Linked DNA regions of Oreochromis niloticus. The protein of the gene in region 2 interacts with the protein of the main gene of each other region in a pairwise test. Links are inferred from orthologs where the notes say so. Each region holds a gene or a part of one and is shown on either strand. Other genes may lie near its edges. The genes, in order: map3k3, glrx3, moxd1l and trim36.

The links.
Region 1: the proteins of glrx3 (region 2) and map3k3 interact in a two-hybrid assay, tested with the Homo sapiens proteins (2 studies listed by BioGRID and IntAct). The link is inferred for Oreochromis niloticus from reciprocal best matches to the Homo sapiens genes GLRX3 and MAP3K3.
Region 3: the proteins of glrx3 (region 2) and moxd1l interact in binary tests that used the Homo sapiens proteins (3 or more experiments, as listed by UniProt). The link is inferred for Oreochromis niloticus from reciprocal best matches to the Homo sapiens genes GLRX3 and MOXD1.
Region 4: the proteins of glrx3 (region 2) and trim36 interact in binary tests that used the Homo sapiens proteins (3 or more experiments, as listed by UniProt). The two-hybrid records come from large-scale screens. The link is inferred for Oreochromis niloticus from reciprocal best matches to the Homo sapiens genes GLRX3 and TRIM36.

What each region holds. Positions count from the first base shown.
Region 1 is NC_031969.2:28,854,323-28,861,983, reverse strand, and holds the start of map3k3 (mitogen-activated protein kinase kinase kinase 3), read right to left. Parts: upstream 3,020-7,661; 5' UTR 2,483-3,019; intron 2,268-2,482; 5' UTR 1,603-2,267; intron 1-1,602. UniProt on the Homo sapiens protein: Component of a protein kinase signal transduction cascade. Mediates activation of the NF-kappa-B, AP1 and DDIT3 transcriptional regulators.
Region 2 is NC_031976.2:36,170,288-36,177,076, reverse strand, and holds glrx3 (glutaredoxin 3), read right to left. Parts: upstream 2,086-6,789; 5' UTR 2,056-2,085; coding exon 1,078-2,055; 3' UTR 507-1,077; downstream 1-506. Other genes in the region: large proline-rich protein BAG6, read left to right, coding at 4,750-4,830, 4,926-5,043, 5,417-5,631, 5,900-5,971. UniProt on the Homo sapiens protein: Together with BOLA2, acts as a cytosolic iron-sulfur (Fe-S) cluster assembly factor that facilitates [2Fe-2S] cluster insertion into a subset of cytosolic proteins.
Region 3 is NC_031980.2:9,793,778-9,801,610, reverse strand, and holds the start of moxd1l (DBH-like monooxygenase protein 2 homolog), read right to left. Parts: upstream 3,005-7,833; 5' UTR 2,976-3,004; coding exon 2,706-2,975; intron 1-2,705. Other genes in the region: snx9b (sorting nexin-9b), read left to right, coding at 7,079-7,090.
Region 4 is NC_031977.2:21,326,994-21,334,700, reverse strand, and holds the start of trim36 (E3 ubiquitin-protein ligase TRIM36), read right to left. Parts: upstream 3,021-7,707; 5' UTR 2,608-3,020; coding exon 2,545-2,607; intron 1-2,544. UniProt on the Homo sapiens protein: E3 ubiquitin-protein ligase which mediates ubiquitination and subsequent proteasomal degradation of target proteins. Involved in chromosome segregation and cell cycle regulation. May play a role in the acrosome reaction and fertilization.

The DNA.
Region 1 (7,661 bases), on a different chromosome or scaffold from region 2:
GTGGAAGCAAACTCTGGGGACAAGGAGGGGTGACTGGCCCATTACTGTGACTGATTTAGTGAAGTAGTCAAAAACTCTTTAGAGGTCGAGCCCCTGGAGTGGATGAAATTTGCCCCGACTTCCTTAAGACTCTGAACTTGTGGCTGTCTTGTTTGACATGCTTCTGCAGCATCACTTGGAAGTTTAGGGCAGTTCTTCTGGCCCTTTGTTGCAGATTCTGTTTATGACTTTTATGGATAGAATTTTTAAGGCATAGCCACATGGCAGAGGGCTTCAGCTATGGCAGTCTCAGGATCACGTCTCCGCTCTTTGCAGATGATGTGGTTTTTCCGTCCTAATCAGGCAGTGATCTCCAGCGTAACATGGGTTGGTTTGCAAGCAAGTGTGAAGTAGCTGGAATGAGAACCAGCACCTCCAGGTCTGAATACATGAACCTCAGCCAGAAAAGGGTGGAGTGCCGACTCCAGGCCAGGGACGAGTTGCTGCCCCAAGTGGAGGCATTTAAGTAACTCGAGGTCTTGTTCGCAAGTGATAGACACACAGATTGGCTCAGTGTCTGTAGTGATCAGGGTGTTTTGGTGAATAGAGGGCTGTGTTTGAAAGCACAGATCTACATTCCTACCCTCACCTATAGTCATGACCTCTGGGTAGTGACCAAAACAAATAATGAGATTGCAGTGGAAATAAACTTCCTGACGCTCTCCCTTATTGAAAAGATGAGGAGCTCAGTGATTTGGGAAGGACTCACATTAGAGCCACTACTCCTCCATATTGATAAAAGCCAGTTGAGGCGGTTTGGGCATCTAACTAGAATTCCTCCAGGTCCCATCCTAGGAAGGTTTTTTTGAGCATGTCCAAACTGGGAGAAGGCTCCAGGGTAGAAAAAGCATACACTGGAGAGATAATGTCTTGGCTGACTTGGAAATGCCTCAGCAGTCCCCCAGATGAACTGGAGTAGGTGACCAGGGAGAGGGAGGCTTAGATGGCTGCCCACGCAACCCGAACCCGGATACACGACAGAAAATGGAACAGAATGGAATGACACACATGCTCGAGGAAGATAAGCTATTAAATTTAGTAAGCACAGCTGTTATATATTCACTATGGAATATGAATTTAAATTTTTTCTCAATTAAAAAGGTGGAAAGCTGGATGGCATTTTCAACCCTGACTGATTAAGACAAGAGGTCACAGACAAGTCCTTTTTTAATGGAAACTTTTAGAAAATATTAGCAACTACAATCTATATTAATTTTCAATTCCCCCCAGCTTTTTATACCGTCAATTTCTTAGACTTTATTCAACTAATTCAGCAAAACAAATAATTTCAAGGACATAGCCTATTCAATAATGATAATAATAATGATAATAATAATAACAATAATAATAATAATAATAATAATAATAATAATAATAACAACAACAATAAAACCGACCCACGTAAATAATTAGAAAAGCTTACATTTCTGTTTTTGGCAGACAGAGCTAAAAAAAAAAAAAATATTTCAAATATATAATCCCGACACATTTTTTCCCTGTCGACTGAACACAGCGCATTATTTACACCTGTCACTACTCTCAGGTGTAGCTCACAACCCTCACCTGTAGTCTCAGCAGGTCAGGTCAGGACCGAGGTTCTCCCGCGTACAGCCGACTGGTCACCGTAGTCTAGCGGCAGGAATGACGCAGTAGGTCCAGCTGTTGTTAACGTCCATTAGTGTCCTCGGTCAGACCAACACACCAAAGAGTGTGAGTGAATGTAAAGGTGCCATCGGCGGGGCTGACCCCCCCAGGTACCAGGGCTTGTCTTCTTTAACGGAAAGTTAGATCACACACACAAACCGATTCTTTCCAGGTTGTAAAAACAAGCACGGTCACATGAGGCAGCTGTAAGCCTCACAGAGAAAATGTTCCGATGGGAAAACCTACATCAAACAGCTCCAGCTGTGGCCCAGAGGCAAACTTTTGCGCCGTTGTAGCCTCGGATCCTTGGAAAACTTAAATTTCCAAAACATCTTTAGAAGTCACACTAAAAATCGATGAATTTAGAAATGTATTCAGAGCCGTGTCCCATTACAGTGTTAAATACGAACAAAAACTGCCAAACCAAAGTGTAACAGTAACCGTATGGCCTGTATGAAATCCATTTGTGGGTAGCAGCTCGCCAGAGGAAAGACCGTACGATTTCCGTGATTCTGATGGCCTCTCTTCCTGCTAAGTTTGCAGATTTCCCTCGACCGTGGTTCCAGGTTTGAATCCAAAATATTCTAGGCAGAAGATGTTTTTATTCTCATTGCTGCATTGCACATAACTGCATCGCATTGCAACGTGAATGATGATATAAACATAATCAGGCAAGAACACACGAAGGCCGATCTGGCCTATAAAAATGTGCAGATGAATTTAATTGAGAGAGCACCGAGCTGAGTTCAGACTTAAAAATAACACAGACTAAAGGGACATTGGCAGAAAAAAGTACTACCTTTGAGTTTATTATATACTTTAACCAGATGCGTTATGTCATGCGAAGCCAAGTAGGATAAAGTCCATCGATGTTTAGACTTCGCAGGGCTGCAGACTCTAAAATTGTAGATCCTGGAGTATTCATATAAACAGCAAACTGATATTTAAAAACAAACAAATAAACAAAAAAAAAAAACATAAATTAGACGAGCTCGGTCTGTTTTCAGCGACAGTAACAAAGATGTCGTTTGTTGAGAGGAGCCAGCGGTCGTCCACAACTTTTCCGAACCAAAACAAAGCAAGAAATAATCTTCAGCTGAATACGTCAAACTTCCTGACAGAAAAAATATCGCCACCGGAACCAGCTTTTATGCTTCCAACAAGTCATGAAAACGGCTCGCAAAGGTTGTATCCATGTTTCCCAGATGCTTCACTGTCCGCCATCCAAACGCTGGTAATAACGATGATTTATTCCCGGGGGGATTTCTGACTCCTAAACTATCTAAATTAGAGCCGTGCAGCCGCGGGGACGCGCTGTTACTCGGTGGAAGTCTTCTTTCTGGAGCGCGCACAATATTATTGGAGGGGCGGACCAGCTGTGACGTCGTGAAGCGTTTGCTGCCGTGAAAAAGAGTTGGAAAATCCGAAATTCACAGCTTTTAACTTAACAGTCCTCATCCGTCTAAGTCATCCAATGTTTTCCTTTAAGAGTGAACAATAACGTGCATTCCCTAATTGAATTTAAATGACACGTTAGAATAATCTAACGTGAAGTATTTGAAGTCAAGTATTTTCATTTTATTTTGGTTTCAGCAGTACTGGACCTGGAGGGAGTGGAATACTTATGTAAAAAGGTCAACGGGTTGTACTTCATTATATCATAGGATTATTGTTGCGCGGCATGTATTTGAAACATTTATTGCGCAGTGTAATGCAACAATTATACAATATATGCAATTTATCTAAAAGAATCAGAAACACGTGTGCGCGCGCACACACACACACACACACACACACACACACACACACACCAGTCAAAGGTTTGGACACACCTTTTCATTTAATTGTTTTTCTTTATTTTCATGACTATTTACACTGTAGATTCTCCCTGAAGGCATCAAAACTACAAATGAGCACATATGGAATTATGCAGTAAACAAAAAAGTGTGAAATAACTCAAAACGTGTTTTATACTATAGATTCTTGAAAATAGCCACCCTTTGCTTTGATTACTGCTTTGGACACTTTTAACATTCTCTCGGTGAGCTTCATGAGATAGTCACCTGAAACGGTTTTCCAACAGTCTTGAAGGAGTTTCCAGAGATGATGAGCAGTTTTTTGCCCTTTTGACTTCACTCTGCGGTCCATCTCGTCTTAAATCATATAATTTGGGTTTAGGTCAAGTGACTGTAGGGGCCAGGCAGCAATCCATCACTCTCTTTCTTGGTCAAATAGCCCTTACCGACCTGGAGCTGTGTTTGGGGTCATTTTCCTGTTGAAAAATAAATGATGGTCCAACTAAATGCAAACCGGATGGGATGGCATGTCGCTGCAGGATGCTGTGGTAGCCATGCTGGTTCAGTGTGTCTTCAATTTTGAATAGATCCCCAACAGTGTTGCCAGCAAAGTCCCCCCACACCACTATATCGCCTCCTCTGTGCTTCACAGTGGGGACCATGCATGTAGAGACCATCCGTTCACCTTTTCTGTGTTGCACAAAGACACTGCGGGTGGAACCAAAGATCTCAGATTTAGACTCATCAGACCAAAGCACAGATTTCCACTGGTTTAATGTCCATTCCTTGTCTTTCTTGGCCCGAACAAATCTCTTTGTTTGTTGCTTTTCCTTAATAGTGGTTTCTTAGCAGCTATTTGACCATAAAGCCCTGATTCGCACAGTCTCCTCTAAACAGTTGATGGAGAGATCTGTCTGCTGCTGGAACTCTGTGTGGCATTTATCTGGTCTGTAACCTGAGGAGCTGTTAACTTGGGATTTCTGAGGCTGGTGACTTGGATGAATTTATTCTCAGCAGCAGAGATGACTCTTAGTCTTCCTTTCCTGGGCTGGTCCTCATGTGAATCAGTTTCATTGTAATGCTTGATGGTTTTTGCCGCTGCACTTGGGGACACATTCAAAGTTTTACCAATTTTCCAGAGTGATTGACCTTCAGTTCTTAAAGTAATGATGGACTATCTCTTCTCTTTACTTAGCTGATTGGTTCTCGCCATAATATGAATTCTAACAGTTGTCAGATAGGGCTGTCAGCTGTGTATTAACCTGACTTCTGCACAACACAACTGACGATCCCAACCCCATTAAGAAGGCAAGAAATTCCACAAATATACCCTGACAAGGCCCACCTGTGAAGTGAAAACCATTTCAGGTGACTACATCATGAAGCTCATTGAGAGGCCAAGAGTTTGCTGTGCTGTCAACAAAGCAAAGGAGTGGCTACTTTCAGGAATCTATAATATAAAACATATTTAGAGTTATTTATGATTTTTTTCTTTGCTACATAATTCCATATATCTTGCTTCATATATTTGAACATTTATATATTCAAAATCTGTGACTCAGCATTTTGAGTCTATTTTGTATTTTTGATTTCTTATATTATATTGAAAATTAAGTTCTTGTGTTGTTGTTATTATTAGTTAGGATTTAGTTGAGTTTTAATCTTGTTTTTGTTTCACCTACATTTCCTGAGTTATGAGTCTTTTTCTGTCCTCTATGTAGTTGTCTTGTCCTTAGTGTTTTACCTTTAGTTATGCCCGTGCTCTCATCTCCTTTATCCATTCTTATGTGTCTCTTCTGGCGTTCCATGTCTCCCTAGCCTGTCATATGTCTTATGTCTGTTGTGTGTTCCATATTGCCAAGCTTGTGCTGTCATGTCTACATCTCTCAATGTTTCCTGTTTTATTTTGAAGAGTCGGGTGTTTCCATGTTCATTGTGTTTTGTCATTATGTTCATTCCAGTCAGCTGTTTTCCCATGTGTTTCCACTTCCCCTGATCACCTCTTGTGTGTATTTAGTCTGTGTGTTTTCGTTCAGTCTTTGTCAGGTTGTCTGTTTTCCTTCCTCCACATCAGGTTTTAAGTGTTTTCCATGATTCTGTTCAGGGCATGTTCATGTTTCAAGTTCACGGTTTTTTTTTTTTGAGGGGTCCTATACCTTCTCTCATGCTCCTGCTCATAATCATGTTCATGTTCTCTTTGGTTATAGCTGTTATAGTCCAGTCTTTTCAGTTTAGGTTTTAGTTTTGTTTTCGCTACTGTTTGTTTTGCTTTGGATTTTGTATTCATGTTTTTCAGCCAAATAAACGGCTCACTTTGTCTTAAACTTAGTTCGTTTTCTCCCGTCTCTGATTTTGGGTCCGTTCCTTTAACACACCGGCTTTGCAGCCGTGACAGTTCTATATTCATAATCAGAATACTTTGTTAATTCCAGATATTTTGTGGTCAAAGTTGCTCCAGTAAGAACAGTAACTAACTAAGCCACATTCAAAAACAAAATATATTACAAAATATTACAAAAAAGCTGTAATATAAATCTAAATGTTGCAGAGGAAGATGGGCAGTACTTTTCACTGCACTGTATTGGAATATAAGTGTAGTGTATCAAGTACTTCAAAGTTGTACTTAAATGTAACCAATTACCTTTTGGATTACTTCCATTACAGCTAAACTTTATTAGATTGAAGTATTTCACCACAAATAAAATGCAAATAAAGACAATGTAAAACTCAGTGTGTTAAATCAACACCAGCATTTTATTTATTTATTTTTTTCCAAAAGCATGTAAAAAAAAATAAAAACAAAAATATGCACAAATGATTGTGTATATTGGCGTAGAAAGAGGGCGCTCACATTTTAAAATGTACCATACTACAACTAAGCAAGAGAGAGGAGGAGGAAGAGAGGAGAAAGACTGCATACAGTCCAAGCATCCTTTTGCTGTAAGGCCACCTCAATCCACAGGTCATGTCTGTAATATAGAATACACTTTCAAAGATGCATACATTTAAAATGTCTTGATGACAACGGCAATAAAAAAGGAATTCCACATCAAGTGTAGCACAGAAATGAAATGATTCACAGATTTAACAATAAAACGTCACACTGCAATCATTCACCTGAGCCTTGTGGCACCAGTGTAAAGTGTACCTTGTCTGCTCTATTAGACTTGGACATTGCAATTCACAGATTTTGCAGTTGTACCTTGGCGAACTGCTAACAGAGAATGACAAACACAGCATTTTTAGATACAATTCTCTTGATTTTTAAAGCATTCTCTGGGATCCAGAGGGCCGTTTTAAAATGACATAAAGAAAACATACATGTTCACACATAGTAGAATTAGAACTTTTGTACATGTGAATAAAGATGGTTAGGTGGGGAAAAATGGCTGCTGGTTGAGTGAAGTAATCCTTTGTTAAAGAGTTGGACTCTACAATAACCAGATCTGTTTTTAAAAAGGCATGATCACAAGATTTTGTTGTAAAGATCTGTGCATTCAAAGGTGTTTTGAAAAAGCAATAAGGTCAGCTCTTTGTCTTCTAAGGCTTCTCTTTAAAAAAAAAAGTCCATCTGTTTTGCTTCCTATTCTGCACAACAAGCTCAAATTAACAGTAAACCTTCAGTCACAGAAAGTACTTTGTGCCATTCAAGTGTCAGTGGTATTTTCTAAAATGTGATGATTTAATGGCTTTGGAGTTATCCTTTGTACAGAATGAAATAAAACCATGGAAATCTACACTGAATTAATTGTTCTTACATGTTAAAACTAAATAAGATCAAAAGAAGCTGTTGGCTCGGCTAGCTGCTGATCCTACTCAAAAACTTGAAAATAAAAGGCTATACTCAAATCATGGGCAAGTTATAGTTTTATCCTCTCATGTGAGATGCTATTGTCACACTTTTCCCAGCAGGGGGTGCTCTGCACTGGCTTTTGCATGCAGCCACACATCAAGGTGCCCATATATGTGACAAACTATCCATCCATCTATTGTAACATTGTAACATTTATATTAAGAAATAGGTCCAGTTGCATTTAGCAAATAAGACAGGAGAACCAGAAGGCATTAACTGAAAAAGGACTCAGGGGTTCAGGACAGAGTGACTGGATGTTTATGTCGCTATAATACAGCTTTTAAAACTTCATCACAAGACAACAACAAGCTGACAAGCATGAAATTATG
Region 2 (6,789 bases):
TGGTCTCTAAGCTTTTGCATCTGAGGCTTATACTAGAAATGTTGCACAGTTAAGCTGTACTAAGAAGTGGAAAAATGTCCTTGAACCAATCAAAATCCTCCTGGATAAAAAGAAGGGCCATAAGGGATTAGTGTCAGAGGACAGTTTAAAGCCAGCACGCATGATGGTGTTGTTTCGCATCAGTGAAAAACCATACCATGTAGAAACCTATATCCATCCCTGAAACTGTGTTGTAAACAAAGGATTTCTGCAACAGTGGTAATTTTCTTCTACCACTCAGTAGAATCACACATATTTGGCCAGACTTTATTAGTTCTATTACCTCGCTGTTAAATCTTACGCTTCAACGTAGCTGCTTCATTGTTACAGGGTGGCTCGTCTCTTATTGTATTGTCTCCTCAACTGAATAAATAAAAAATCTACAACAGTTGTCTCCTCAGGTTCCTAATGCTTACAGGGTGAATAGAGTAAATGCTTACAGATTAAACAATAAAGGGAAAAAACACTTTAAGTTGTTTTAATTTTTAATTGTAATCTTACCGACAAACACACATAGCTTGTTACCAGAGTGATCCTTGCACAGAGCTAAAAACAGCTTTTCGGACTTTAAAGGTGGAGAATGTGCAGACAGGACGGTGTGAACAGTGAGCAGCTGGCCTGGGTAGGAAAATAAAAGTCTACATAACATACTGAAGTGTGAGGCTGTCAACACTGGAAGGAAAGCTATAATCCCAAGAAATGCAGATATTGTGAACTAACGTCATCATTTTTCCAAGAATCAGACAGCAAGAAGTATTTACTTAAATGTCATGTTAAACAAATCTTCAGATGTATTTTCAAGAATTTCTAGAAGCCCAGCTTTCCAGTAACAATCATTACCAGAAAGAAAAACAGATGTAAATTCTTACTGTTGACAGCAGTTTCATTTCTGACTGTAATTAGAGTGAATCTATCCCCCTGCTACAATACAATTAGTTACTAGAGAATATTTTGACCCTTCTGCAGGGTTACTGGAGCTAATCTGGGTATGTGCAGCAGCTTCTTGTTCCCTCCCTCAGATAGCCAATGCAGATCCATCTACGACTCCCCTTTCAGGACTGATACCAGCTCTCCACTCTCCTTCAACTCCTTGACAATGTCCAAACCACCGATAAGCTCTCCTTTCACATAGAGCTGAGGGTAGGTTGGCCAGTTAGAGTAAGTCTTGAGCCCCTGCCGCACTTCTTCATCCTGCAGGATATCAAAGGTGTCATAATCCACCCCGGTACCGTTCAAGAGCTCCAGTATCTGCCTGCTGAAGCCACATCTGGCAGCCTCTTTGTTGCCCTTCATGAACAGCATGACTGGACTCTGATTGATGATGGTCTTCAGTCGGTGCTCTAAGGTGACAGCCTTCGGGCAGGTGTTCTCCAGCTCTCCGGACTCAGCCAGTTCCTTCACTATGTCCAGTCCTCCCACCAGCTCCCCGTTCACATACAGCTGGGGGTAGGTGGGCCAGTTGGAGTACGTCTTCAGCCCCTGTCGGACCTCCTCATCGGACAGGATATCGAAGCTGCTGAACTGGATGTTGTGCTCTTTCAGCAGCGCAACTATCTGTCGGCTGAATCCGCAGCGGGGCTCCTGGGGTGACCCCTTCATGAAGAGCATGCAGGGGGCGGCGTTGATTAGCTTCTTCAGCCGCTGGTTCAGATCTGCGCCGCTGCCCTCAGCGGCTCCACCGGGTCCCTCGCTCACCGCGAGGCGCTGCACCTTCTTAGTCAGTTCCGGAGCGTGAGCCCCGTCCAGGCGGTCCACTTTCTCTCCGCTCTTGAAGAAAAGGAAAGTGGGGACGGAGGAAATTTCATACTTCTCCGACACCTCCGGGACCGCTTCCGCCTCTAGCTTCACGAACGTAGTGTGCGCATGTTCTTTGGCCAGTTCGGCCATCACCTCGTTCATTTGGCCACACTGAGGAGCCCACGCCGCTTGGAAATGCACCACGGTAAGGCATTTTCCAGCTTTGGCTAAGAAATCTTCAAACTGCTGTTGAGTAGTCGCCTCCACGAGATTCGCCATTTTTCTTTCCTTTCACCCTCTGCACGCGCAGTGGTTCCGGTGCCGCCTAGACGTCATATCCGCGTAGCCTGGCAGTTTCTGGCAAGTACCAGAGCAGCTACAGGGAAGTCGTTTGCATGCTAGCTGATGATAAGAAAACAGCTGCATACACTGGATAAGTCGAGAGGATAGTAACTTCTAAGGTAACTGTTTAACGACACAGACTTAATTAAAACGAATTTCACTCTGTTTCGGATTGCTAAGCTAATTTTAACGTTCCGTTTTAGTAGCTTTAGCATTAGCTAGTTAGCTCAAAGTTAGCTTCGTTCGTGACGTCTGCCAGGTTTCCAAGTTAAGCAAAGCTAATTCATGCTAGCAAGCCTTTGGTGGTTAAGTAAGCTACTGTTACACGTAAATTCTGCTAAATAGAAATAGAGTCAAATACCACTGTTCTAAGAGTTAAATTAATAAAAAGAGTTTAAATAAAGATAGTGCACGTCGGTGTCTGGCCCAGCATGAAGCAGCCTCGGTTCCTCGGCTAACTACTCAACATTACGCTGTTACCGAGCACGCAAACTCCAAAACAACACGAGCAAGTGTTTCGCTGATCAGACTCAGCTGTGTCCTTCGGTTTTACATCGGTGGTTTGCACGAAAAAAACTGCTGCGTGTTTTTGTTGCTGGTTTTGAGGAACATTCAACTCTGTGAAGTTTTCTGCACCTGCGGACGGCACTATTTTCTTTATAAATCCATATGCTGCGTAGCTGTCAAGACAAGTAAGATGGTGGCGAAAAAATATTCTTTAGATAAACATTTCAAATGAAATGAAAGGGAAAACAATACACACCTTATCCTTGCCATGGTATAAGCATAATGCATCTTCTATTTATTTTTAAGGCTTTTCAAATCCGGTGATAATAACTAGTTTGTTACTACGCCTGAAAATTATAACATACTTATATGACATATGACACTGTGTTAAAGTTTAACAACAATTAACTCAAAATGCAGAAGTAGTGTCTAAAAAAACAAAACAAAAACAAAACTATGGGCTCCCAATAATTCAGTAGCCTGTAGAATCACCCTTAGCATCATTAAATTGAAGTAATGGTTTTCTGTAAGACATTATCAGTCTCTCACATCATCTTCTCCCACGTGTTACATTGTCTACTATTAGCATGATCTTGATCACAAAGCATGTGTGTTCTGTGTAAATGTGTCCTTTGAAAAACTAAGTACACACATGATTCAGTAGCTTATTGAAACACCTTAACCAGCATCAGCTTGAAGTAATCTTTATCTGTATGATATTATCAGTCTCACTCTTCTTTATACATGGTTTATGCTTCAGTTCATTGAGGTTGGCGGGCATTCATTTATACAAAGCTCTCCTGTCACAGCATTACATCAGATTGCAGTATGAACTTTAGATTTTGTTTTGATTTGCTCATTACAACACCTTGACTCTTTCGGGGGTTTTTTTAGCTGTTCTGTTGTACACAAGGGTTAGTTATTGAAAAGATGCCCTCATATTTCAATTCAATTTTATTTATATAGCGCCAAATCACAACAACAGTCGCCTCAAGGCGCTTTATATTTGTCTTTAGAATACTTTAACATACAGAGAAATTTATGATCCACTCACTGACTGCAGGTGCCCACATCCTAGACTCCAAAACAAGCCCAAAACATCACCCCTCCACCACTTGCTTGACAGTTGGTATGAGACGTTTATGCTGATATGCTGTGTTTGGTTTAAACCACTGGCACTTTGTATTATGGCCAATTATCTCCACAATTGTCTTGTCCGTCCAAAAAACACTGTTCCAAAAGTTTTGTAGTTTGTTTAGATGCAAGTTTGCAAATCTAATTGTGTTCATTTTAAAGAGAAAGATGGCTGTGGCAGCCCTTTTGTCAACTTGTTCAGTCTTTTAATAAATGTACTATCATGAACTTTAACATTTAAAATGATAAGTGAGGAAATAGTATTTTGCCACATTAGTGCCACAACATCATGAGTGGTCCACCAATAAAGAGGAAGATAACTGAGAAAACATTAGTAGAGAAAAATTGCTGTAAATAAATAATAGTTAAATATTGTTAATTATTATTACAAGAGTATGCACATATTTTTGAAAATAAAAGTATTGTAGTTAACATTTTATGGTGGTTTTGTTGTTTTTTTTAATTTTGCTGTAGGTCCACACAGTGTTTTGTTTCCTATATGTTCTACATTTCTGAATATTTTTTTTTTAACCTATGAGTTACAACAACCACAATATTTTGAAGCTATTTTCATATATTCTTTTTACATTTTATAGACCGTGTGAGTAATTATTAACACATTAATTGAGAATAAACATTATCATTGGCCATAGCTGTAGGAGCAGTATCAGTTGGTAATTACTGGCCGGCACATCAGGTTTTTACGGACCCTTTGAGTCAGCAAGTATCAAATGACAAAAGATATGTTTGTGATAATTTAAGTGAGAGTCTTTGTTTTATACTGTAAATTGTCCTAATTAGTCCCAAATGTTCCATTTCACATCTCACAGAGATGTTTAAAATAGATGTTTATGTTAAGAAAGAAATATGAGAGGATTTCAAATTAGCAAAGTGTTTAAACTCTCACATAACAGTCATCATATTTACCCTAAGAATCCAGTTTCAGCTGAGCTATAAATGGAAAATACATCTTTCTGTTACAGGAACACAATGGAAGAACAAACTGCTGACATAGAGGTGACGGTGAAAACATTAGACTCCCAGAGCAGAACCTACACTGTTGGCGCTCAGGTAAGTACATGCATGGTGCAAACTCAGGAGGAAATTCTTATTCTTAGTTCATCTTTCCTGTGGTGTTACTCATGTCTGTTCAATCTTTGTTGTAGCTGACGGTGAAAGAGTTCAAGGAGCACATTGCCCCATCAGTGGGTATACCGGTGGATAAACAGAGGCTGATCTACCAGGGCAGAGTGCTGCAGGACGAAAGGACTCTGGCAGACTACAGTAAGTAAATAAAGAATGAAATGCAGAACTAGATTGTTACTTGTTGGTCTTTGTACTTCCTCCTGGAAAGCAGGAAATACGTTTTTGGGTATTTGGTATTACACGGAGAATGAATTCTTAACATTTTGGTTACACTTGGTTACAGATAAATTGAAATTTACTATGGTGTTTAAGAGTTTCTGCTGCTTTTTAAAACGATTTGTGTTGATGATGTGGGCCATTGCTGAAAAAGAATTTAACAGCTATGTGTAATTAACTGAAAGATTTAGTAGTGCATTCAAGTAGAGTCTGTGTGTTGGAAATGCTTTTTTTAAAAAATATTTTCTTGAAGTATGATTGGAGATGTGTAACTGCATATGACTGTTTCTACCAGATGTGGGTGGAAAAGTGATCCACCTCGTGGAGCGAGCGCCCCCTCCACCCTCACAGCCCAGCTCAGGGTCAGGAGGCTCTTCAGCCGAGAGTGGGCCATCCTCTTCCTCCCAGGGAACATCACAAGTGCCTCCACATGATCGCAACGCTAACAGCTACGTAATGCTTGGCACATTCAACCTCCCTGTCAACATCATGGATCCCCAGCAAATACAGGTTGGTCTGCTTTATCTTCTCAAGTTATATTTATGGTCCAATGTCACATGCAAAGGTTCAGATATAACCAAAGGGTGATGAAAAGCAACTCAGAAAACCGATGTTATTAGTCCATTATTGATTACTACTAATTATTACGCCATGTAGCAGAGAAGTGGAAGCACATTCTCTGCTTTGAATTTAACGTCTGTATGCAATATTCCCTCTGTTGGTTTCTGTTAATAATGTTTTCATCTTGGTCATTCTGTACCTGAATCTTTTCATATAGATGTCAGTCCAGCAAATGGTGTCCAGCATGGGAGAGAATGCTAGGAATGCCAGAGTCACAACCAGCACTGGGGTGAGAGTTTGCATGTTCTCCCAGTGCAGTACACCGCCCTGCTCCTGCACCCCAAAAACATGGATACTCGATTAATTGTTGATTGAAAATTAGTCAGAAATATAAAAGTACAGCACTAATTCCAAAAATTTTTGGTAACTATGTAAAAATTAAATAAAAGCAGAATGAAATAATTTGCAATTTCATTCCTGAATCCGTATTTTATTCACATTAGAACATTTAAAACATGTTGAAAATGTTAAACTGAGAAAATGTTTACTCATTTTAAATTTGATAGCAATAACATGTCTCAGAAAAAGCTAAGAAAACATGGCCTTAAAATCTAGGACTCTGTTACCGCTGTGGAGGATTCCCTCTTCTTTTAACAAGAGTCCATAAACATCTGGGAACTGAGGAGACCAGCTGCTGCAACCATGCTGGCTCATGTCATATTTTTTTTTTCATAATGCGTCAAATGGTTTTATTTGCTGAAAGGTCTGAACTGCAGACAGACCAGTTCAGCACCTGGAACTTCCTCCAATAAACCTTGTTGTTGTAATACATGCAGCATGCAGTGTAGCATCATCTTGCTGAAACAGGCTTTCCCTGAACAAAATGTCATCTGGATGGAGGCAAATGTCTCTCTAACACCTGTATATACTAGAGATGGACCGATCCGATATTACGTATCGGTATCGGTCTGATACTGACCTAAATTACTGGATTGGATATCGGCGAGAAATAAAAAATGTAATCCGATCCATTAAATATCAAAAAAGCACCTCACAAAACTTGCTACACGCGTAACTCGGCTCATAACTGTAGCACGTCGGAGCAGT
Region 3 (7,833 bases), on a different chromosome or scaffold from region 2:
GGTCCTGTGTGAAAAAGTGATTACCCTCTATAAACCTAACAACTGGTTGGGCCACCCTTAGCAGCAACAACTGCAATCAAGAGTTTGCGATAAATGTCAATGAGACTTCTACAGCGCTGTGGAGGAATTTTGGTCCACTCATCTTTGCAGTATTGTTGTAATTCAGCCACACTGGAGGGTTTTCAAGTATGAAATGCCTTATTAAGGTCATGCCACAGCATCTCAATCGGATTCAGGTCAGGACTTTGACTAGACCAGGGGTCTGCAACCTTTTACACCCAAAGAGCCACTTGGACCCGGTTTCCACACAAAAGAAAACACTGGGAGCCGCAAATACTTTTTGACATCTAAAATGAAGATAACACTGTATATATTGTTTTCTACCTTTGTGTGAACAACTAAGGTGTGCTGCTTATGAAATCCATGAAGTGGTACAGAGAAAATTACATTTTATTTATGTAATCAACACATTTTGAACTCTTAAAGAAATATAACAAAAGCAAAGACACCCAGCTGAACTAAAATGATCCATGTAGCAAACAAAAACTGTTGTGAGCTGCCACCCTTATATCTCCTTTGGGCTTTTGGAGCCTTGACCTGACTTTTAAAAAATAATTGGTAAAAAAAGCTCTATGCTGCTGAAAAATGAAAAATAGATATTTGCAAAATTCTGCCTAAATATGTATTTTACCTGGTTAATGCGTGCGGCGGGGGCGTGGTCTGCAGCGCCGCTGCAGGGGAGGCGGACGCACCTGAGCGGCACCCGCAATCACGCCTCGCCGCCTTAAAGTCTGTGCTCTCTGCTGTTGTTGGTGGTGTGTGTCGGGCTGTGAGCTGCGAAGCTACAGCCGGCTGTATGCGTACAGCAACTGTGTGTGAAAAGTGGTCAATAAAGAGATGCTGAAAAGCGCGTTCATGCAAACATCGTCGGGTCTGCCGTGATGTGTTTACAATGGGACTTCTGATCCTGAACCTCTGCGCACAGCGTCTGCTAATCGGTGCTCTGCGAAGTCAGTTTACGCAGGACTGTAAGCTGTCATCTGTCGTCTGTGAGGCGTGAGCAGTGTTTGTCTTTAACATACTTCACGGTGGAGCTGCTGACATAATGTGGATCCGAAGATCCATAATTGGCCTACCTGGGGTTGAAAGTCTCGATAAATGCACGGTGTTTCGGCGGGAATACCGGCTTCCGCGAGTGTGACGCTTATATTGAGCGAGGAAAAAATAATAGAATATAATTTTATATTTATATTTCAATATCACAATAATTTTCCAATTTAGAACTACAAGTTTAAAAGAACTAACATAAATAAAATACACTTCAGCGAAATACTTCTAATTTATTTTCCCAAACCATGCGGAGCCGCACTATAAGGACTAAAGAGCCGCGGGTTGCCGACCCCTGGACTAGACCATTCTAAAGTCTTCATTTTGTTTTTCCTAAGCCATTCAGAGGTGGACTTGCTGGTGTGTTTTGGATCACTGTCCTGCTGCAAAACTCAAGTGTGCTTCAGCTTGAGGTCACGAGCAGATGACTGGAAATTCTCCTTCACTTGGTTTTGGTAGACGGCATGGTTCATGGTTCCATTTACCACAGCAAGTCTTCCAGGCCCTTAGGTAGCAACACAACCCCAGACCATCACATTACTACCACCAATTTACTGTTGGTATGACATTCCTTTTCTGAAATGCTGTGTTACTTTTACACCAGATGTAACACACTTTCCAAAAAGTTTGATTTTGTCTCATGAGTCCACAGAATATTTTCCCAAAGATCTTGGGGGTCATCAAGATGTTTTCTGGCAAAACTGAGACGAGTCTTTATGTTCCTTTTGCTCAGCAGTGGTTTTCGTCTTGGAACTCTGCCATGAAGGCCATTTTTGCCCAGCCCCCTTTTTAGTGGAGTCACTAACCTTAACACTGACCTTAACTGAGGCAAGTGAGGTCTGCAGTTCTTTAGATGTTGTTTTGGTTTCTTCTGTGACCTCCTGGAAGAGTCATGGCCAATCAGTCTAAAATTACTTTTGGAATAATTTTAGTAGGCTGGCCACTCCAGGGAAGCTTCACTACTGTTCCAAGTTTTCTCCATTCATGGATAATGGCTCTCACCATAGTTCACTGGAGTCCCAGAGCCTTAGAAATTCCTTTATATCCCTTTCCAGACTGATAGATGTCAGTGACTTTGTTTCTCAGCTTTTTCTTTGGATCATGATATGTTTTGTTGAGATCTCTTAGCCCGCTTCAGCTTTTCAGACAGGTTCTATTTAAGTGATTTCTTGATTTAGCAGGTCTGGCAGTAATCATCCCTGGGTGTGGCTTTGTAAAAAATGTGGTTAATCACAGTTAATTTGTGATTTAACAAGGTGTGGGCCATCACTTTTTCACACAGGGCCATGTAATAATAAGAAATCAGGAAGGTGGCAAACACTTTTTCACACCGCTGTATCTATTTTTTCTATTTCTGTCCCTGACAAATACCGAACATGACATAGTGACACTAAAAACTAAAACTGTGCAAATCTAAAAACTAAACAAAAATGAATCATTTTCAATAGAATCTAAACTAAAACAACTGATATGAAACTGAAAAGAAAACCAAAACACAAAATTAAATTAAACAGGATGAAAGCATTCAGCTGTTTATCTAACTTTTATCATAAGTAAAAATACAACAGGTTCTGATTTGTTATTATTTCATAACTAACCGAGAAGTAGCTTCCACTGGATCCAACTCCTCCTATGACGATGTCTGATCCTTTCATGTCTCCGTTCGGGCTCAAACCAAAACCCACCCAGCCTGTGGTGTTGACTGCCAGCTGGAATGTAATGTCATCAACGGGATTGTCAAAGCCCCACTTCAGGCACACCAGTTGCTCCTGGTCCAGGTACTCCATAAAGGGCATTGTGACATCCATCGCCCATGACCCTGTTGCGCAGATCAGTAGCAGGGAGAAAAAGGGAAGCAGAGAGCACATGATGTCTCTGCAAAGCTGAAAATCTTCAAACTGAGCTGAATACTAGCGGGGCTGCCAAACTCCCTCCCACCATCCAAAGACACACCTGCGTTTCGAGATCAGCTCAAGTGATAGTGGGAAAAAAAAGTGCTCAGGCATTTACTGTTTGCCCTTGCTGAACAATAAAAACTGGGCTTTCTGTGCTCCCTGTCACATTCTCATCCTTGTAAAAACTCACAAATGAGTTTCAAATTCAGCTTCTTTAAAGCCTTAGTATTAAATCTGTAATTGAATCTTTTATGTACTAGCAGTCTCCAGCCACAGTGCTTTTCATACAGCACTAAAATGTCCACGGGTGGGCTGAAGATTTCACCTCCACTTTTTTGTTTTTTTGTTTTTTTTATAACTGGCAGACTCAGGTGATTGATATATGAATCGGTGCTAAGGAGAAGTGAAAGTTATAATACTTTCTTCTCACCTACTGTCACATTCTCATATATCAAAGGCTTGAGTCAAGCCAAAATAATTTCATGGCGCAGGAATGTGAATTGTGTAGTTATTCTCTGAGTGCTGCACTCAGATCCTGATACAAAAGTTTTAGGTTTATTTCTTTGTTCATGTGTTATTTTTTTACAGTGTGCAATCTTTAACCGTCTCATATTCTTTAGCGAACATTTCAGAGAGATTCTTCTTCTTCTTCTGGCTGAACAAATATCTAATATTTTAAGGAAAACACTTCAGCTATCACTTCAAGTACAACTTATGTAACAACTGACTCAAGTGCTCTTACACACAACGCTTCTCTGGTCATTTTACTGTGCAACTCATCCTGTTCACAGGTTCAGTTGCACAGTCTAGTTTTTTTTTTTTTTATTACCAACATATGCAATATTTTCTTAACTTGAGCGCATAAGGACAGAGGAAGATTTCTTTAGTGATCGTCATCATTGTCAGTGATAAACTAATTGACAGCACCGATCATTGCAAACAAACATTCATAGAAGTTGTTGCATGCTAGAATTTATTGTTTGTTGGACTTTCTGTTTAGGACAGTGGGTTGATTGATGGACAACACACACTGTCAAGGCAGTAAAAGTATATCTGGATAGAAAATCACAGAAACTGACTTCCCCGGAGCCCGAAGCTCAACATTTTTGAAGCAGTGTGAGATTATCTTGACAGAGAACGAAAGAAAGGGCGGCGAAAGAACAGCATTCAATGTCCTTCAAGAGGTCTGGAGAACTAATTCTGAAGACTACTTAAAAATCAAAAGAAAGCTTACCTAAGAGAGTTCAGGCTGTGTTAAAGAATAAAGGTTCAAGCGCATTAGAACTGTACAAGCTCTGTTTTTGCCTTTTGTCCTGTATTTCTATGTATGCTTGCACTTGTTTCACTGCAATTTCTGAGAAAAATATAAAAAAAGACTTTTACACAGTGCTGTAAGTCTTTACCAATAATGATAACCCAGGAAATCAGGAGACAAAATAAAAGATAATTGTAACTGTCAGGCATCAAAAATTGAATTGAATTGAACTGAAAGCCTTTATTGTCATTATGCACAGTATAACGAGATTTAAAACAGCTCCATAAAAGTGTACAAGTGCTTAGCACATTATAAAAAACTACAATAATATAAGTATACACATAATATAAATACACGGCACTGGGTGACAGAGACAGACAACCAGAGAATAATGACACGGACAATTTAAGCGCCGACAATTTTAAGCACAGACATAAGTTCATGCTAGAGTCCAAGGAGCATCAGAATGAGCACTCTAATGGTGCAGTGGTCAGTGCAGATATTTCAGTGCAAATTACTTTTATAAGTTTGAGTTGAGTATGGTGATAGCTTTGGGGAAGAAGCTATCCCTAAGTCTGTTTGTTCTGGTCCATATGGATCTGAAGTGCCTGCCAGAGGGCAGTTGGTTAAAAAGATGGTAGCTGAGGTGGGTGATATCCTTCAAGATGTATCTGGCCCTGCTGAGACAATGGGAGTTATAGATGGCAGACAAGGAGGGCAGAGGGCAGCCAATGATTTTTTGTGCTGTGTTTACCAACCTCTGCAGTCTCTTCCTGTCTGCCTCCGTGGAGCTGGCGTGCCACACGGCATAGGTCAGCAGGCTCTCGATGGTGGATATGTAGAAGGTCACCAGCAGTGGGGTGTTTAGTTGCTCCTTCCTGAGCACCCTTAGGAAGTGTAGCCACTGCTGGGCCTTCTTGACTAGCGCTGTGGTGTTGACTGACCAGGAGAGGTCTGCAGAGATGTAGATGCCAAGGAATTTGAAGGACTGCACTCGCTCACCATTGATGTGCAGGGGGGCAGGGGCAGCTCTGTTCCGCCTGAAGTCCAGGATGAGTTCCTTGGTCTTGGTGATGTTAAGTGCCAGGTTCTTTAATGCTCACCATTCTCCCAGTTTCAGGATCTCATCTCTGTAGGCTGCCTCATTTCCCCCTGTGATCAGCAAATTTAACAATGGTGTTCTCTAGATGGGCAGGACTGCACTCAGATGTGTAGAGGGAGTAGAGTAGTGGGTTAGTACACAGCCCTGGGGAGAGCCGGTGCTGAGAGTGTGGGGGGAAGAGAGGCGAGGATCCAGTTTCCCCCGCTGGGGTCTGTTGACCAAAAAGTCCTTTATCCAAGAGCAGGTGGGTGGCAGGAGCCCCAGGTTGGCTAACTTGGTGATCAAAATGTCCGGTATTATTGTGTTGAAGGCTGAGCTGAAGTCAGTGAAGAGCATTCTGACATAGCTCTCATGTTGCTCCAGGTGACTCAGTGCTTGTGTGGAGAGCAATGGCTATGGTGTCTTCGGTGGATCTTTTAGTCTGATATGCAAATTGGTGTGAGTCCAGAGCGGGTGGGAGACAGGTTCTGATGTGCCCCAGAACCAGTTTCAGGAAAGGAGTTGGTGATGGCAGGGGTTAGTGCAATTGGACGGCAGTCACTGAGACTGGTTATGGGTGACTTTTTAGGTATGGGGGTGATTATGGCAGATTTCAAGCAGAATGTGATGACGGCTTGTTCCAGAGACAGGTTGAAGATGCCAGTGAAGACCTGTGCTAGCTGCTTGGCACATGCCTTGAGCACCTTCTCAGGTACTCCATCAGGACCTGCAGCTTTCCTGGGGTTCACTGCACATGCCTCACATCCTGTGTCTCAAGAGTGAGTGGGGAGTTGCTAGAGGCTCGTTTGAGCTGTTATTGAAAACGTTAAGAAAAAACCCACCAACAATAAAAACTTAAGATAAGATAAGATAACCTTTATTAGTCCCACACGTGGGAAATTTGTTAAAATACAATAAATTGAAGCATTTGAGTAAAAAAAAAAAGTCTAGGTGTAGGAATTTAAATAGTAGGTGGGTTTTTGTATCCGATCCAGACCACTGGGATAGCAAATACAGACCTCGGTTTAAAACGCACTTGCACAATGAGGCCAGCAGAGGGAGACTTAAACAAAAGAGTAAACATAAGTTTAGGTTCAGGGTCACTCCCTTTGAGCTGTCAGCCCCATAGTGAGTAAACACACAATTAAAAAACGCACTGGAAAATTTAAAAAATCCCGCAAACAGTAGAAATTTTATTATTACTACTACTATTTTCATTATTATTGTTATTACTTGTTTTTTTTTCCCGACAAGTTAAAAATTTTAAGTTACCACGTTTTATATATATTTTGTATTTTTTTTTAATCGTTGTTTAATTATGAAGTGTTTTATTTCTTCATATTTAAAAAAATAAATTATTTGCGATTTTAAACAGTCGTGTAGTCTCTCTGGAGGAGCCACCATATCGGACCTGGACTACCTTTCCGGTTTCTGTGCGTGTTGCAGGTCACTCCCTCCTCCGTACTGTCAGCAGCTCTTTACGCGCTTCAAACTTGGTAGTCGCACTCAGCTGGTCTCCTTCCCACCTTTCGTTTTCTCGGATTTTTTGAGTTTTTAAACGACCTACTGTTTTTAAGTCATGTGTTAATTCCTTTGTCGCGGCGGCTTTCCACCGGAGGGAGTTATCGTGTTTTCTTCGCCTCCAGTTGAAGAGAAACGCGGAGGAAATGTCCTGCTGAGGGTTGGAAATCCTGAAAACCACAGGGCCTGTTTTTGTAATGATTGATCAATGCTTCGATAATGGCACAAAAGGTGGGTTTGACAACTTTCCTGGGCTTCTTTTAAACCCCCAGCCCGACTATGCTGGCTTCTTGGGTTCCCCCTGGAGCTTGTTTTTCACCAATACTGAGGGCTGTAGACTTGGACAGTTAGGACTGTAGTTTCTCGCATTAGTTTTACAGTGAAGACTTCACTCGGTGAGCTCCGCATTAAGACTGAAAGCATTTAGGGAGTCTGCTTTAAAAGCGTCATGGCCGCTTGTCGCACATCTGTATGCGCTCAGCGAGAAACGAATGCTTTTGCTATACATGGAAAATGTGTCTAATTAACGAAGTGTCTTGTGACATTTTACTACCTTTCCAGTGTGGGTCATAGCTGCCTCCGCGGAATTCTGGGAACTGCAGTCTTTTCTCAAAACCCTGTTCGTACCATATAGTATGTGACTACTGTTTACCTTAGGTGAGGACTACAGGGCCATAAATGTAGCTGCAGCACTGTAAACACGATAATTTTGCTCATGGTATTGTTCGCATTTGGACCTAATGAGTGTTCTTTTAGGAGTACCGGAAATGGTACGTGAAGCAGAGTGTGTATAAAGATAAACTGTACGTAAAATTAAGAAGTTAAATACCCCCTCTACTCTAGATATAGGTTATGATATGCAAAAAATCCTACTGAGAATAATAACATAACATCTGCTTTTTATTTTAAGTAATCCTTAACAAAATAAAATAAATGATGTTAAACTAATAAAAAATGCAGCAGTCACCACAGTA
Region 4 (7,707 bases), on a different chromosome or scaffold from region 2:
TGAAGGTTCTGTGAACATCCTAAGCCTCTCTCAGGTCCCGTGTCCGATATTTGCTGGATATGTTTTGTTTGTTTCTTAGGGATATGACACACAGGTGCTGTTAATCTGCTGTACATATGTTTTAATGCATACCATTTCCTTTTCTGTCCTCCAATTGTCCAGTTTCTTCAATTTTTTAAAGTGCACACTGCACAGCATGCTGAGATATGCCAAGTTTTTGGCTAATAGCACCTCGGGAATTATTGGTGCAAAAATACTGCTTTATTTCTATCAAATTATGTTATTTTTGGCACTTTCTATAGATTCAGCTAATGAAATGGGAACATATATGTGAAAGGCTGCACAACAAAGTGCCTTAAGATACAATTTAAAAGTGGTTCTGTTATGTCTGTTATGTATAGACACAGCACTAATTCAACACTAATTCAGCACTAATTCATCCCTTGAGTTAAGTTACCTTTTTATGTTTGAATTATTCATAGGTCAGTGTTAGGTAGCTTAACAAACTAAGCATTCTTCTAAACAAATGATCAGGTACAAGGACTGGACTGAAAATGAGTGAAAAAGCAGTCAATGTCCAAAGGGGGGGGGGCTCAAGACTTTTGCACAATACTGTACTGTATATCAGAGGGACAGCCCAGGTTGAGATTTTTGGGAGACAATGTTGAATGTTTGCAATCGAATTGAATTGGGGAAAAGTATGCTGTGTTTGCAGATACAGTAGCAGTGTTAGCAGTGTTGTGTTTAATCTGTGAAGGCTTGCTGAGAACAGACCGGTAATTAAAGTGTCTTCATGTGCCTATCAGCACTTTGAATTTGAAGTTAAAGGGAAAGCTCTCAAAAGCTTTACAAAAGTACTTAAAATACAAAACAGCCTACCTTTTTCAGTATGTCCATCCTCCCACTGGGTTACTACACTGACACCCATTAGCAAAGGGGGCCAGTAAACTGAGACTGCCGTGCTCGTTACAATGTCAGGGTCCTTCCCATTACATTAGGGGATTTATGAGTCTATAATTGCTTGCTGCAGTGATTATTGCGGAGGTCTGCAATTATTTTATTGAACACTAGGGTTGCCTGGCAAGTCACCCCAATAATGTTTCAGTTAGAGAACAAAAGGTGACCATAAAATAACTTGGGTGCTTTGAGGAGAAGCTGTAATTCCTTCAAGAAGTGAAGTGGCCATGTTATTTGAATTGATTAACCGGCTTCTGCATGCACAGTCACTGGAGGCACAGAGGGCAACTTTAGGACTCTGTTTAGTCATTTGTTTGGTTGCTGGCAGACGCTCGGGCCTTGCAGCGACACTGCCAGACAGCACCGTCTTGCTGCTGTGTCACATGATGACGTTTTTGCCACTGTGGACTTTCATGTTCTCCCTGTGCCTCTGTTCCTCACAAAGTCCAAAGACTTGACAACATTAAATGTCCTGTATGATGTCATTATGTCGTATGCTGTATGTCAACCCTGTGACTGACTGGGAGCCTGTCCTGAGTTTAACTTGGTCCTCTAGGATTCGATTCACCCTCCAACAGCCCTCTTAGATTGGATGGTGATCTATTAAAACTAAATTTAACAGTTTCACAGAGGCCTTAGAAATGTTCTGACACATTACCCTCACTTACAGCATTTTTTGTACTGCTGTTCACAGAAAGACACTCAACAAAGAATTTCCAGTTACTGTTTCATTAATAGATTTACTGGGTTCCTAATTTTATTTATTCTCTGGTATAAAAGTACCCACTGTCCACGACAGGTCTGACACCAGCTTAAATTATAACAGAGATCTGCAACTGCGGCTGGCATGTGTGAGTCAGTCGCCTGTACGGTCTTCTCCTGTTTCTGTCACACACATGAAACACATGCACAGCTCTGTGCACGCATGAACAAATGCCAGAGATTGTGCTAGCAGGAGAGATACATTTCAACACATTCTGTCAGTCTGGAGTGCATGAAATGGGTAAAGACACCCACCCAGCCCTCCCCTTTCAGTCACAAACACACCTCAGTAACCCAGTCTCACCAAAACCACAGCTGCTGCCAAGTGGCCCACATTTTGACAGAAGTCGGTGTTCTCCCTGCAGCAGTAACCAGCAACACACCCAGAAAAACCTCTAATTAAACTCATCATGTTTTTTTAGATAGATAGATAGATAGATAGATAGATAGATAGATAGATAGATCAGGTTAAATTGAGGGAATGAATCTCTACTTTTGAAATGCAATAATGTAAAGTGACAGATTTTACAAGAACAGAATAAAATAAAATAAAATAGTTTGTGCTACAGGAATACAGTAGGTCTTACTGTTGCATATGGCCCATTAATAACTCAGTCATGCACCCGTAGTGTATATAACGCAATATAATAGGATATTGTGTGATACCAACAAAGAACAGATAAGAATAGAAGTCTATGAGCATGCCTCTCCATCCTCTGACAGCCCTGCAGGCCGGCCCGGCGCTGCTGCTGCTGTCGGAGCATGTTGACAGGCAGATCGCCGCTGTCAGAAGGACCATAAATCATCCGAGCGGATGAGCCTCACCTCGCCCCGCTCGATCCGCTCCACGATGCTGGCGAACTCAGTCATATCCTCCGAGTCCGACATGGCTACAGATGATGGTGATGATGGTGGTAATGACGATGAATGCACAGTATATAGAAGAAGAGAGCACCTCGATATTTAAAAATGCAGGAAAAAAATGACGCAAACAACTGCTGCGGCTTGTTAAAGAAACAGGATAAAAGCTTCAGAGCTTCGCAGGGGAGGTGAGACAACATCAAGAGGGGAAGAGCCGCTCCTCAGACCACATCCCCATCATCATCCATCCTCTCTCCTCCCTCCCTCTTTCTCTCTCCACACGGGCTTAGGTTTGTCCGTGGAGACTACAGTAGCCCACATGCGCCGGCAGCAGTTTAATTTTAGTTAGCCTCATCTTGGAAGGAAAAACCCCGCCCTCGCTCCTTTGTAGCCTCCTGTGCCATCTCCCTCCTTATCCCCACATCATCCCTCGGCGGCGATGTCTCGCCTCACACAGCTCTTTGTATTCGCCTGATCTACTATCTATCACCCCCCGAGTGAATGACTTCCCTTAATCTGTCAATCACTACAAAAATCATAATCATGTCAGCCTGAAGATTAAGGGTCGGGTAGGGAGGAGGGGGGTCTCAAATCATTTAGTGCCGCTTATTCAAGTTGGGCTTTTACGCATGGCTGGCGGCGCACTCACGTGCGCACATGACGCTTTATGGGCTGACTTGTGGTCATTTAGACTCACGTAGCCTTTTTATGCCATATTTGGTTTATTTTGTTGTTTGGGAAGCTGAAAACCGCCCTTGAATGTGACACATCCAGACGTGGAGAGGTTTGGAGAAAAAGCCGGATTGTGAGGCCGGATTAAGTTCGTGTTTTTAATTTTTCTGGCAATGCCACTTGTTCCGCGTCGGCAGATGGCTGCATGGCTTCATGCAGACATATTCCACCCCATTGAGCATGTGGAGGGGGGACAAGCAGGCAGACTGCCCTGACCGAACAACCGAAGCATAACAAAATTATTAAGTATGTTTCCAGTGGCTCCCAACCACGGAGACAATCACTGTCAGCTGGCATCAGTCGAAAAACCTCTTTTTTTTGTTGAAAACCATTTAAAGATGCAGGTACATAAACGAACTTCTAATAGAATACTACGATAAAAATACGAGCACCCCATCGTTGAATGATTTAGAGGTCACTAGGATCATCTTGTGGACTGAACAAACAGCAGTGAGAGGCTGCATTTGGCCGATGATGAGGACAGAAGGACAAATTGAGGGATTATCAAAGCTGAACTTCTGTGTGAGGGCAATGTGATTTCACCAGATTTCACCAGATTTCAGTGGAAAAATCTCACACCAAAACTAAATGTGGCCCTCATGCAAGGAAAACCTGAGGGATGACCACACTGTTAGTAAGAACTCATCGTGTAGGAGGCATTAATGTCTGGAACAGAGTTTATGGCCATCCATCACGTGCTGCTGCGATGCAGTGCTTTAGTTGTCATGTACATAAACCCGAGATGACACATAACTACCCCATAAAACGCCACAGTGCTCTACACCTATTGCAAAATCAATATAAAGCACTGATTAACGTGTTTCCCTAAGTAGGACTGACAGAGAATACATGTTTTATAAGCACACATTAGTTCACCTAAGGGCCTGTGATCGTTCCAGATGAGTCATTAATATCACATGAAAGGCAGAGTGGTAAACATGCTGCATTTCTTCACTTGTTTTAGTAGAAACAACTCGTTTGACGACTGAGTTTGCATTAAGCGATGTTTACCGACTCATATTAGGTCGTCTTTGCTGGCAGATATACATGTGGGAGTATGAGAGGTGTTGATGAACTCCACCCAAGCCACAGCTGCAACTTGCTGCCAAGGGAATATCTCCAGACATCACCAGTCTGGGTTAGGCTGTAATCACTTGGGTAAAAATACTTTCCTAACCTCATGTTTGTATTTCTATTGCTTTCTGGGGGGTGGGGGGTAAAATGTAAGATCCACTGCTGTTTAACATTTTATAATGTCCAAAGATTGGATATCAGTGCCACTGGGCTCCATTAGCCTGGCTCGTGTTACCCTATCAGTGCCAACAGTGAAGTCTGTGACTGTGCTGTGCAGCTCCCAGGTGGGACTCCATGTATGTTTGCACATGTGATCTGTATCCAGAGGGACCCCTGCCCCACCTCCCCCTCAGCTTTTAATGATGTTTCAGTCACTGACCTAATAAAGCAGAGGGGAAAAAATCAACTCCCAGCTTTACTCACTACACAAGCCATCCACACTGTAGAAACATGAAAGGCAACTGAGGCAAATTGGGGGAAAATACCGACCAGCTGTCATCTTTCGATGTAAAAATAAAGCAACAACAGTTGAGTCACCGAGCCATATGCAGGACACAGTGAAAGGAAATAAAGCCTTTCATAAAGAAACTCAGCTGTTGTGGGCAGCATGAATCATGTAACACCCAAAGGAGCGAACACTTGCTTTGTCTCTTTTTGCCATAAGGAAGTATTTAGCATGAGATACTTCCATCCAAGAGGCATTAAGCAAGGGGAAATCCATCTTTGGCATGACAGCTGGGATGACAAGATTCACAATAGTGAGAATAAAAGTGCTATGCCGTGACCCGTCAGACCCAGGAGAAGCACGTTTCTCCCCACCGTAGCAAAGATCAAAACTTTTATCCAAACTTGGTCCTGCTTTCATTCTGAGGCTGATCCAAGACCTTTAAGGTGGACAGGTGAGAGTGCATACTGATGTTTTAGTGCAAAGAGGGGACAGGGACTGACTCTGAAAGGACTAGTTGAAGATCACATTTCTGATCATTTTGTGTTTTAAGGATTTCTTGCTTTATTTCTTTCTGTGAGATTTTATTGCAGCTAATGATTAAAGAGGAGGAGAGAAGGGATTTTAAGCAGCAGCCAATGGATGTTATTGTGGATTGTTTGTAATTGCTGTTGCAGTTGTGGGTGCTTATTATAAATATCGCCAAAGTTTCAAATAATGTCTCCGTATACCCAGGCTTTAGACTGCTCAAAATGTTCAAGTTTTTTGGGATCTTTATGAGGCCAAACAGGCTGACAGCTCTGGTGCTTCCACTCAGAATCAAGCAGAGCTTGATGGGAAAGACAGTTGCAGTGCGGATGTTTGAGCTGCTCCCATTTTAATCTCATTCATGTTAGGAATCTTGTCCTTTCAGTGATAAAGCCAAAGCATTTGTAGGCCTAGGTTTCCTTATGAAATTATTTCTTTTTGAAGAAACTTCCCATATAGGAAGAGGGTCTCAGTGGCAGGGAGGCAGGGATAGGATTTATTTCCTTATCACACCTTTGTGCAGATAAAGGCATTTCAAAAGCTACAGGCTACTTGCTATATGAAATTTCTATCAGTATTTTTGGTTACAAGAGGAAAAGCCTTCTTTCCTATTAAAAACAAACACATGGGATATACAGTATGTTTTTTTTTCCTTTTGGTGCACATCTGGAACATAATCATTTGCATTTTCGAACAATTTTGGTAACCCCCACGGCCTTTCACCTCCAGGAATGAGTCTGTTTTTAACAAGCAAAATCAATAATTTGTGCAGATGATGCACACTGGCCTCACGGGACAAAACTAAACTGTTTTTTTCTGAATCTGAAGCTGTTGATACTGAAGGAAAAACTTCAAGAGGGGCCAGTAGATTTGTCCACCATCTCCCAGATTACAGAGTTCCTGACAGACAGGCCACAGTTTGTCAGACTGGCTTATCATCGCCTGACATGCTGACGGGCTGTCTCCATTCCTGTTCACTTTGTGCACCTCAGATTCTAAGTACAGCTCTGATCATGGCACCTATAGAAACACTGACGATTCTGCAGTGGCTGGATGTATTAGTGATAAGAAAGAGGAGGAATATAGAGCACTAGTGGATGATTTTGTGGCGCATTCTGCGAGGAATCATCTGCTTGTGAATGAGACCAAAGAGATGGTGACGACGAGCACAGCTACACGACCTTGTTTGTCCTGGGACCAAATGTTGATTTGATGGAGGTGTACCCACGCAACCATGACGGCAACAGGCTTAACTGGAAGATGAGCAGGCTCTGTTTACTAATAAAGCTGCAAACCACAGCAAAATGGACATTATCCGTCTGCTGAAGCGAGCACAGTGTACGGAGCAGGAAGGCTGGCTTTGTGATTGGCTGAAAACTCTGGTGGAAGTAACAAACCTAACCACCTCCGCAGCACGCACTGGACAGCAGCAGAGAAACTTTCTCTGACAGGCTGATTCAGCCACAAGGACAGATACAGGAAGTCTTTCATAGGTCATGTGACACATCTGTCTATCTGAAAATCACGTTTTCTCATGTTAATGGTTTATTCAAACCCTGCACCCAGGACCCACACACATAGCAAAAAAAAAGGGTGGACAGATCTATATTTAAACATATACTTTACTTCCTTATTTGGATTTCAAATCAGATTTTACTTTAGTAAAATATATGTTGCCATTTTGAATTTTATTTTACTGAGCTATACACTATTATAACTATATCGTTATAGGTTGTATTAACCTTTATTTTTAACTTCTGTACCAAAGAAATTCTCCAGCTTTTGAGGCTAAAGTGCAACTTATCTAAAGTGAAAAGCTGCATGAACCCACCCACAGAAAACAATTCAGACAGTTAGTACAGGTTTTATTTACCATACATACAGTTTGTACTGCCAAGCCAGAGCCAACATCATTTCATTCAAAGCTATAGACAAACAGTACATCACATGCCAACATTTGCATATCCAGTTCCTCTAACAGTCTCACTCACGTCGCCGTAAACCTGGTTTTCTCTTGCACGATAGAAGTCACATATTTATAGACATTTACATGTGTATCTACACTCAATATCTCTACAAAGCATAGAAAAAATAAATTTCATTACCTTTATTCTTACATTATTCATTATTACATTATGTATATTTATTGATGGCAAAGCAGGGGTTTATGGTTTGACCACATGTCGCTGGATCTCGGAAAGAAAACAGTTTTCACTGCAGCTAAAAGCACAAAGCTGTCGTCCACCTGTTTTGGGACAGAGTGGACTGCGATGCGACCGCGGGAGAGAACAGGTGACTCTAATAACAACTGCTGAGACACAGCCTTCATCTGCAGTCACGTGGCAGAG